Linked DNA regions of Kluyveromyces lactis. The protein of the gene in region 1 purifies or fractionates together with the protein of each later gene. This does not show direct contact. Links are inferred from orthologs where the notes say so. Each region holds a gene or a part of one and is shown on either strand. Other genes may lie near its edges.

The links. Proteins that work in one complex are often made in the same cells at the same time.
Region 2: the proteins of TAF6 (region 1) and NGG1 purify together in Saccharomyces cerevisiae (affinity purification with mass spectrometry; 14 studies listed by BioGRID, with this or other methods). This does not show direct contact. The link is inferred for Kluyveromyces lactis from reciprocal best matches to the Saccharomyces cerevisiae genes TAF6 and NGG1.
Region 3: the proteins of TAF6 (region 1) and SPT15 purify together in Saccharomyces cerevisiae (affinity purification with western blotting; 10 studies listed by BioGRID, with this or other methods). This does not show direct contact. The link is inferred for Kluyveromyces lactis from reciprocal best matches to the Saccharomyces cerevisiae genes TAF6 and SPT15.

The regions. Positions count from the first base shown.
Region 1 is NC_006042.1:979,179-982,522, forward strand, and holds TAF6 (TATA-binding protein-associated factor TAF6), read left to right. Parts: upstream 1-1,244; coding exon 1,245-2,795; downstream 2,796-3,344. Other genes in the region: ARC40 (Arc40p), read left to right, coding at 1-426; DAD3 (Dad3p), read right to left, coding at 617-874; SLD3 (Sld3p), read right to left, coding at 2,836-3,344.
Region 2 is NC_006040.1:1,523,489-1,527,328, reverse strand, and holds NGG1 (histone acetyltransferase NGG1), read right to left. Parts: upstream 2,580-3,840; coding exon 663-2,579; downstream 1-662. Other genes in the region: MAS1 (mitochondrial processing peptidase), read left to right, coding at 1-521; RSM24 (mitochondrial 37S ribosomal protein mS35), read left to right, coding at 2,928-3,839. UniProt on the Saccharomyces cerevisiae protein: Component of the transcription coactivator SAGA complex. SAGA acts as a general cofactor required for essentially all RNA polymerase II transcription. At the promoters, SAGA is required for transcription pre-initiation complex (PIC) recruitment.
Region 3 is NC_006041.1:892,609-895,336, reverse strand, and holds SPT15 (TATA-binding protein), read left to right. Parts: upstream 1-1,364; coding exon 1,365-2,066; downstream 2,067-2,728. Other genes in the region: cohesin-loading factor complex subunit SCC4, read right to left, coding at 1-717; PEA2 (Pea2p), read right to left, coding at 2,436-2,728. UniProt on the Saccharomyces cerevisiae protein: General transcription factor that functions at the core of the DNA-binding general transcription factor complex TFIID. Binding of TFIID to a promoter (with or without TATA element) is the initial step in preinitiation complex (PIC) formation.

The DNA.
Region 1 (3,344 bases):
TCCTTGAATATCACTGATTACACTGACGATATTAAGAGTGTAGACAACCCAGAAGGTCTTCCATTCATCACCTTATGTTGGATCAATGATCATGAAATTTTAGCAGCTGGTTTCTCAAATCATCCTGTTTTGTACAGCGAAGGTTCAAGGGGTTGGGAAGTGTCCAAGATTTTGGATAGCCCAGTTAAGAGTGCTGGCAAATTGGTAGCATCAACTGGGGATGATGAAGAAGAAGGTGCCTTCGGTATGTCCGCATTGAGAAAGTTCAAGGAATTGGATTTGAAGGGTAAAGTTAGCCAGCAAGAAGAGAAATCTACCCATGTGAACTCAATTACAGAATTGGCTGCTTACAAGGAATCTAACAACAACGTCACTCAAGTTTCTTCTGTTGGTTTGGATGGTAAACTTGTTATATACAAGTTGTAGATATGGACGGTAAACGATTCATCTCTTCATCAAATAGTTGATCAGATCACCCCTATAACTCTTACGTTCAGAGTGAGAATACAATAAAAAAGAGTGGCCTTAGAAATGAAATATGTATATCTATGTTCATATATATTAAAATGTAATGTTACAACTCTGATTATGATTACAATAATCAGTCCGATTCCGCTCATAGATCTGAAGGTTTTTGTTGGTGATCCATCCGTCGCTGTATCACGAGTGAATATACGCTACCTTTGAGAAGCGTACTTACAAGAGATATTTTCACTTCAATTTCTCGCATCTCTTGTAAAATTGCTTCCGGTTTTGAGTCCTCATGGGTGTTGTTTAGATCTGAAAGTGTTTCGCTCAATTCCCTTAAGGACTCCGCTAGGAAGCGATATTTATCGAGCACACTTCGCTGCAATGGTGTCAGTTCCGAAGACATATTCAAAACACAAATAGTATGTTTCTTTGTAATTTGTACGTAAGCCCAAACCAGTAATGGTTACCTTTGTTGCCTTACCTTACATATTCAATTGGAACTCTATCCGGTAAACTTATGATAACGTTATTTCATTTTTGGTATTTTCCAATATTGACGAAAAACATAAACGATCGAATCCTGAAAGAATAACAACTCCATCCTTCAAAGTAAGGAATACAAAGCCAACGATTTGAATACAACACCAGCGCTCCTCTATTGCACGAACATCCACTCGAAAACTCTAGTTTCAGGTGTATACACTGAAACAGCGATAAATTTTATTCGAGTAAACGGTATTCTTTTCTTTATTCATTTGTGTTCAATTTCAATAATGTCACAGCAGTCCTCTCAGCAACAATCTTATACAATTTGGTCCCCGCATGATACGGTGAAGGATGTGGCAGATTCACTCGGAATCTCAAATACAAATGATGACGTGTTGAGGTCATTGGCGATGGATGTCGAGTACCGTATTTTGGAAATCGTGGAACAAGCGGTGAAATTTAAGAGACACAGTAAGCGATCTACTTTGACTACAAGCGATGTTGCGAAAGCTTTACGTGTCCTTAACGTCGAGCCATTGTATGGATTCGAGGAAGGATCAGCGAAAAATGAGCCCGTTAAGTTCAATAAGTTGGAGGGCGCTAATGGGCAGACGCTTTATTACCTAGATGATGAGGAGATCGATTTTGAAAAATTGATCAATACTCCATTACCAGAAGTTCCAAGATTACCAACGTTCACGGCGCATTGGCTAGCGGTAGAAGGAATTCAACCTGCCATTCCACAAAATCCAAATATCAATGAACTAAGGCTGAGTCAAGTTCCGTTGCAAAGAGGAGCAATAGTCTCACCATTAAACGAAACTTCTGTTCAAACCTCTTTACAAACAAATGTCAATGAAGAAAGACAGGCCACCGCAAATGGACCTATCTCGACACAAGTGAAACCAGGTGCAGCAAGTGAAGCTAAGCCATTGGTCAAACACGTTTTGTCTAAAGAATTACAGATATATTTCGAAAAAGTTGCTAGTGCACTTACATCGAAGGAAGAAGATATCAATTCACAACGGATGAGAGCAGCAGCTTTAACTTCGTTGAAGTCTGACACAGGACTACATCAGCTTGTTCCATATTTCATACAGTTTATCGCAGAGCAGATTACTCACCATTTAGAGGATTTGGAGTTGTTAACTACAATGTTGGAAATGATATATTCGTTATTGAGTAATCAATCAGTATTTTTGGATCCTTACATTCATTCTCTAATGCCTTCTATCTTAACACTACTATTAGCGAAGAGACTTGGTGGTAATGGCTCGAAAAACTCATCTGACGACAAGATTGTTGACCAGCAAAATAAAAAAGAGTTTTTAGAGAAGACTAATGCTGTCCGTGATTTTGCTAGCTCTTTACTCGATCACGTCTTGAAAAAGTTCCCAAAGGTTCACAAATCGTTGAAACCTCGTGTTACTAGAACTTTACTTAAGACATTCTTGGATATCAATAGATCATTCGGTACTTACTATGGTTGTGTACGTGGTGTTTCTGTCCTCGGTAACGAAACAATAAGATTCTTTTTAGGCAATTTACAAAACTGGTCGAAACTAGTTTTCGAGGAATATGACAGAAGCCAATCGGAAGACAGCAAGAGCGGAAAGAACCTAACTGACTTGGAGATAAAATTATTGTCAACAGTGATAGTGTCCACTTTAGAGAACTTGAAATCTGATCTTCCATCTTCATACAACCCTTCTGGTGATTTTAGTGAGGAGGACAAAACTCGTTTGAGAGAAAGATGCGGAATTACTGTCGGCAACGTAATACTGGAAAGAGACGATGCAAAGACTCTATACGATGCTATATTTTTTGGTGAGCTTTAGACATCAAATATGTAAATATTGTAACGAATATACGTATTAACTACGGCGCAAATAATCTCCTACGGACGTGCCTGGTTTTAACCTTTACTGGCGATGCCCTAACTGGTGTTTCTGAAACAACTGAAGGGGAAGCCACCAACACTGGGGTGTCCTTCTTTTCCTCTATAGGTTTGATCGGAGTTGCTGTAACATGTATATCCTGCTGTTTATCATCAAATCCGGTTTCTGAGATATAGCTAGCAAGTTTACGTTTACCAACTCGTTGGAAAGAGTTATTATGAGATTGAGAGATATTGATAGCTTTTCCGTTTACCAAAACAGTTCTAACAGTGCTGAACTCCTCCAATATTTGTTGTCTTTGCTTGACAATATCGTCTAAAGAAAGATCTTGCACAGACATTTGTCTTTTTTGAAGGCGATTCAGTTTCAAATCCGACGACGACCTTGACGCCATTTTGGGTTTCTTCTTTGTTGTTTCCTCCTCCAAAAACTCTACAAGGTTTGAGTTCGTTCTAGTTCTTAATAATGGAGGCATTTGTGGCGAAGAGC
Region 2 (3,840 bases), on another chromosome or scaffold:
CAATCATTGGTAACTGGGACAGGGCCTTGGGCACAGGTACTAATTCTCCTTCACCTCTTGCTGTTGCTGCATCTGAAAATGGTACTTTAACTAATTCCTACATGTCATTCTCAACATCGTACGCCGACTCCGGTTTGTGGGGTATGTACATTGTGGCTGATTCTCAACAACACGATATAAAGTTAATCATTGACGAAATTTTAAAAGAGTGGAAAAGAATTCGGTCCGGACGTATCTCGGACGATGAGGTAAACAGAGCGAAAGCAAGATTAAAAGCCTCTCTACTTCTTTCTCTAGATGGATCGACTGCAATAGCTGAAGATATTGGAAGACAAGTAGTAACGACTGGTAAAAGGTTATCACCAGAGGAGGTTTTCGAACAAGTTAATAAAATCACAAAGCAGGACATTATAATGTGGGCAAATTATAGGCTGCTCAATAAACCTGTCTCTATGGTTGCTCTAGGTAATGTCAAAACGGTTCCATCTTTATCATACATTCAGACTAATATGAATAACTAAGTAACAAGTAAATATCATAAATCATAATTGCATCAAATATAGACAGGTACATTTATTCCACGTATTCTATATAATAAAGGGTCTAATTCCACTAGCTAGCACCAAAAACCAGCTTGACGCCAGTCTGTCAGTTATTTCAATTTATTCTTCTTTATTTTGTAGAGTTTCATTTAATTCTTCTTCCTTCCCGTTGGCATTATTGCTGAACACATCTGCTTCTTCTTCTTCCTCATCTTGGTCTATATCCTTGAATACGCTATCTCTTGGAATACGCTTCATGACTTCCGGTTTGTCAAACAAAGGACCAATCTTGCTTATCCATCTTTGTCTCTTATCCAACAAAGATTTTAGACTCGAGTTAGCGGCTTGTTGGTGAGCTGCCTGAATAGCTGCCTGAGATGTTGATCCGGTTGCTAATGAATCCGGCCCAGGTGTATATTGCCTCTTTTTCTTATTTTTCGGCGCACGAATACGTTTGATATATGCTTGGTCAACTTGCTTATCAAGATTGTCCAATATGGTACAGTACTCTTGCCATGCGAGCATCCTCTCCAATAACGGTAGAAGCATTGCCTTTCTTTTGGTATTCTTAGTAGTCACTTGACGTAGTGTACTCTGCAGCTCTCTTAGTTCAGCACTAATCTCATCATCTTCCCTTCCGGTCAACCAATCCGGGTCTTCACGTGTTTTTCCTTCTTCTCTCGGTAGATTCATATATATACCAACATACTTTAATTCCCTTTTCAAGCGTTCCTCAAAAGAAACATAATCAATATTGGAATTGTTTGCAATCGCTCCATGTTGTTTGAATATCCCGTATGACGAGGAGGATGATGGGGTAACATGTTCAAGCTCACTTACTGGTGTTGATACTGATGAATCGAGTGTGGGGTTTGTCGGTAATTCTTCCTTAGGAGCTATAATATCATCATCCTTCAGTATAGCACTCAAAAGCCTTGAGACTAGCGGGCCACAAGACACTTCTTCATTGTCAAGTACACCATCCGAAATGTCATTCCCTGATTTCTTAGGCAAGATACTAATAGGATCACTGATAGGTGGAGGAGTCAGATTCGCAATGTTTTGATTATTGTCTTCTTTCAACCACACGTCTGTGTATAGTGGTCCTAATTTAGGAATTGTGTATGGAGTCACTTCGGGGTCATAAGATTTCACAAACTGCAAATTTTGTGGCATGATGAATTTGTTTTGAAGGAATTTGATATCGTCATCATTGAATTCTCTGTAAAAGGCCTCGATGGATGAGAGAAAAGTATTAAACTGAATTTGGTTTGTGGGTTTAGGTTTCGAGAAATCCATATCAGGCAGCTCACCGGGTAGAAGTTCCTTTAAGTCATTTGTAGGATAGCTTACTACCCCGTATTTCTTTTTCAAATATTCCTCACCAGTAGCTTCAAGACCCTCCTCTTGAAACAAACCTAATCTCATTGCAGCAGCAGGTAACGTTTGAGATACTACAAATTCAGACTTGGGGTTTCTAATGTTAGGATCATTTTCCATTTTATCAATATCTAGCTTTGCTTTCTTTGATATGTGACCATCTGATGATAAAACTTCCGCTTCTTCAATAGTATCTTGTGGCCTTTTGTCTGTCTCCTCGTTCTCTTCTGTAATTGATCTTTTATCCGATACGACTTCGCTAGATTCATCAAGTTTTTTATTAATTGAATCATTTTCTGCGTTCTGGGCTGCAAGGTTTGTTGCAGCTTCTGCTTCCTCCTTCTCTTTTTGTTTCTCATCTTCGAGCCTTATTATATCTTCCCGCATTTCCTTGATTAGGTCTAAATTCTCTTGATCACTAGCTGCAATTTTCTCCAAACATTTTCCTAGATTTTCTAGTTGATCTTTAGTTGTTTGCAAAACCGGTTTCTCAGGAACCGACCTCACGTATTTACCGTTCAGTAAACCTATGTCATTCTCAAAAGTCAAGTCTAAAGACTTCAGCATCGAATTTAGAATATTCGACGGTTCATGTAGCCCAGCGTCATCTCTTTTCTGCTCTCTTATTCCTTTGCCTCTTCGCGTATTCCTTGACATAATATACCAGTGGTGTTTTACTGAGTGAAGATCTGGTTTAGCAATCTACTTGATTCCACCTTTGTCCACTGTTGACTATCGTTAAAAGATAGGCTGCTTTCCAGCTTTGGCAATATTAATGACTTTGTTCTGTTTGTTGCTTCGTTGTTTATCTTCCGTTACTTTGACAGATATTTTCATAGAAAATTTATTATCACGTGACCTCCGCCTTTTCTCTGCAAAAAATTTTCCAAGTTTACCAGAAATACCAATAATCCTCGATACAACACCAATCGGAACCAGAGAAAGCCAATTATATTCAAAGTGTTAAAAGGTCTGCGATAACGTAATCATCTTAGGCACTCAACAATGATTACTGGTGCTAGCGTGCAACGTACTGCATTCTTTTGTAGTAGACGTTTAAACTCCACCGTTACGAAAGAAGTTGCGACCATTTCCTCAACACTTTACAAGGATCCATCGAAATGGATCGGTTTGGATAGTAAAGATATCATAACGTTGCACAATGAAAGAAAGGCAAGACTAGGGCCCCTATATAAGCCTTGCGAAGAAGAGTTGAAAGCATTGTTACCCACTGCCGAAGCGTCTGGAATTCCAGCAAAACTTTTCAAAGAGTACTATCATAAGACACCTGAAGAAGTTGAGGCAGAAATGGGCATTGCAAGAGGTCTAGACGAGCATGTCAACTTGGATCAATATCAGTTTGATGATTTGCCATCACAATCACAAATTTTAGTTCATCAACATCGTGAACAACGTTTCTACAATCGTTTGGCAGCATTTGAACTTCCTTTACTTGCGCAGTATCGTCAAGAATATAAACGCCCTTCAACAAAGACTCATCCAGTAGCTTATCGTTATACAACATATCTTGGTGAAGAACATCCAAATTCTCGTAAGGTTGTCTTATCTGTGAAGACATCGGATCTCGGCTTGGAACAGAGGGAACTGCATAAGCTGCGTCTATTGGCAAAAACACGTTATGATTCTACTACAGATACTTTGAGAATGTCTTCTGATCGCTATGAAGAACCAGCTCAAAATGCAAAGTACTTAAACAGCATTCTTCTAGAATTACTCAAGGAGGCTAAAGATTTGAAAGACGACTTTGCTGATGTTCCTCTCGATAAAAGACATATCATCGCAAGACAATTGCGTAAGAAAAAGCGTGGGTACGAGTTCCCAGAAGAGTGGAAACGTCCACAAGATGCTCCAAGGAAAACAGTGGATCTTGTTGAGCTATTACACAAACAGCTTTGAT
Region 3 (2,728 bases), on another chromosome or scaffold:
CCATATTTTAAGTTTGACATGAGCTGTGTCCATTTCACTAAAATAAACCCACATATCAGCTGGTATGCTGATCCCTTCATCGAGACAGTAATTAATAAACGAACACATCACAACGAAATGGAATTGTTCATGGTTTTTGATCACGAACAGAATATCTCTATAATCAGCCAACTTCCTTTCATTGCCTGGAATCAACTGCAATCTAAAATATTGAAACAGCACTTTCCAAAGAGACGTATCGAGCTTTGATATAAGCTTGGATAGATTTCGTAGTGCAATCTTATTATGACTTGGATCATTTTTATACAGCGGGATCTTACAAAGAAGAACGTAATCCACATACATCTTCTCATTGACCCATGTTGTACTTTGCAACCTCTCTCTGAGTGCTGAAAAATATTGCTCTGCGAGATCAATGCGATGAGTCTCTTCAATCAATAACGTAACAAGATCGTTAGTGATCTGAAAATCTTGCTCTAATGAAAGCTGGAAACCGCCATCCTTCAAATATCGCAGACATCGTATAGCCTGATTTATCAATGTATAATACTGACGAAGTTCCAATTCAGTTTCAATTTCCGTAACAACATCATGTGCAGTCAAAGTGTACTGTTTCGAGAGATGATATATCAAATCTAACTGCTGTGCTTTTCTGCTCAAGGACTTTTGATCAAAAGAGATCGGAACGTTTAGCAGCTCATCTTTGAAGGTGTCCATAGCTAGTATTGTGTATCATACATCAATCGGAAGCTATTTTCAGCATGGGCATATGCTGTTCTTGAGACACGTTAATTGACGTGTATTATTCTAGGGCAAAATGGTTATATGAAACTTTGAAATATATAAGGGAACCAGGATCCACGACAAAAAGAAGACAATAAGTAAACCACCGATGTACTCAGATCGACATGGTATAACTTCATCAAATAACAGGTTTGGAAATGACATGATTGAACTGTTTACAAGTCAAAGAAGTCTACTCTGGTGATTCATCATCATACTAATGAAAATTGATCATGTGACCTAGCTTCATCAGATTTCTTTCCCGCTTACAACTTTTTAACATAGGAAACCAAATATAAATCGTAGAACAAGTAGGAAAAACCAGTCAACACACAAAGATTGCAGTTTTAAGTCGTGTATTTCTGAGGCAGCCCTTTAAGTTATATCAATACTTGTATACTATCTGCTACTCCTACACGATCTATTTTTTTTGAAGACAGTTTTCTTCTTTGGTTTTCAAGACTTTCAATTGTTTGGTGAAATACTTCAAGAAGCCATCTTTCAGCGTTCGTTTATTATCAACTGTTCCGAGTATATCGTATCAAGTTAAACTCTACTACCGCAGCTTAGCTTAGAAGAAGATGTCAGAAGAAAATAGAATGAAACAGTTCCAAGAGGAAAACAAGATAGTATTTGATCCAAGTACACGATCAGTATGGGAAACTCAAGAAAAACAAGAACATGAATCTTTACCTGGAACAGATGCTAATGCGGAAGACGCAGATAAAGGTTCTGCCACTTCGGGAATCATACCAACCCTACAGAATATTGTGGCCACTGTGAATTTGGACTGTAGGTTGGATCTAAAGACGGTAGCATTACACGCTCGTAATGCAGAATACAATCCAAAGCGTTTTGCGGCTGTGATTATGCGTATCAGAGAACCGAAGACTACTGCATTGATTTTCGCATCTGGTAAGATGGTTGTTACTGGTGCTAAGAGTGAGGATGATTCCAAGTTGGCTAGTAGAAAATATGCCAGAATTATTCAAAAGATTGGGTTCAGTGCCAAGTTTACTGATTTCAAGATCCAAAATATTGTCGGCTCATGTGACGTGAAGTTCCCAATCCGTTTAGAAGGTTTAGCATTCAGTCACGGTACTTTCTCTTCATACGAACCAGAGTTATTCCCTGGTCTTATCTATAGAATGGTGAAACCTAAGATTGTGTTACTAATTTTCGTTTCCGGCAAGATTGTCTTAACTGGTGCCAAACAAAGAGAAGAAATCTATCAAGCGTTTGAAGCTATCTACCCTGTGTTGAGTGAATTCAGGAAGCTATGATGTTTTATTGGATGGTACTATAAAAATTCATTTTTTTATTTTATTAAACAATGCACTAATTCGATTCTCGGAGGTTTTGTCTCGTCTTCTGCAAGAAAACCCTTTGTTCCTTCTATCTTTCCTTCCTTATTGTCTTTTCATATCCATTCTGCTATAATAGAAGTCTTTATTATTGGCACCTTACTCTATGTATCATATAGTTCATACACAAATTTAACGACTAATAGCCATCGGTAAATGGTTTCCAGCTTGAGTTTGAAATGGATGAGGAATTCTGTCTTAGATAATGTTACAAAGTTAATTACATTTCAACAATATATTGAAGTTTAATGCTAGTATTTTTGGATCGTTAAGGGCAACATAAAACGATTAGCGGTATCCTTTATTTTCCAACTTGTTCTCCAACTGTTGTCTCAACAGGCGTTCTTGTTCTAGTTCTTTTTCGTATCTTAACTGAGTATCAGCTAAGATTCGTTTAAATTCTTGCTTCATCATTGAGAAAGATTGATGGTTAGAAGCAGATGTTGAGGATTTGATGTCACTGGATTCGGAAATTGCTTGTGAGAAGGATCTATCGATATCCATTGGAATTGATTGCATCTGTGAAGTGACTTTCGATTTCTCCTCGCGCTCCTTCAACTTACTATGATAGTGTAAGAGCT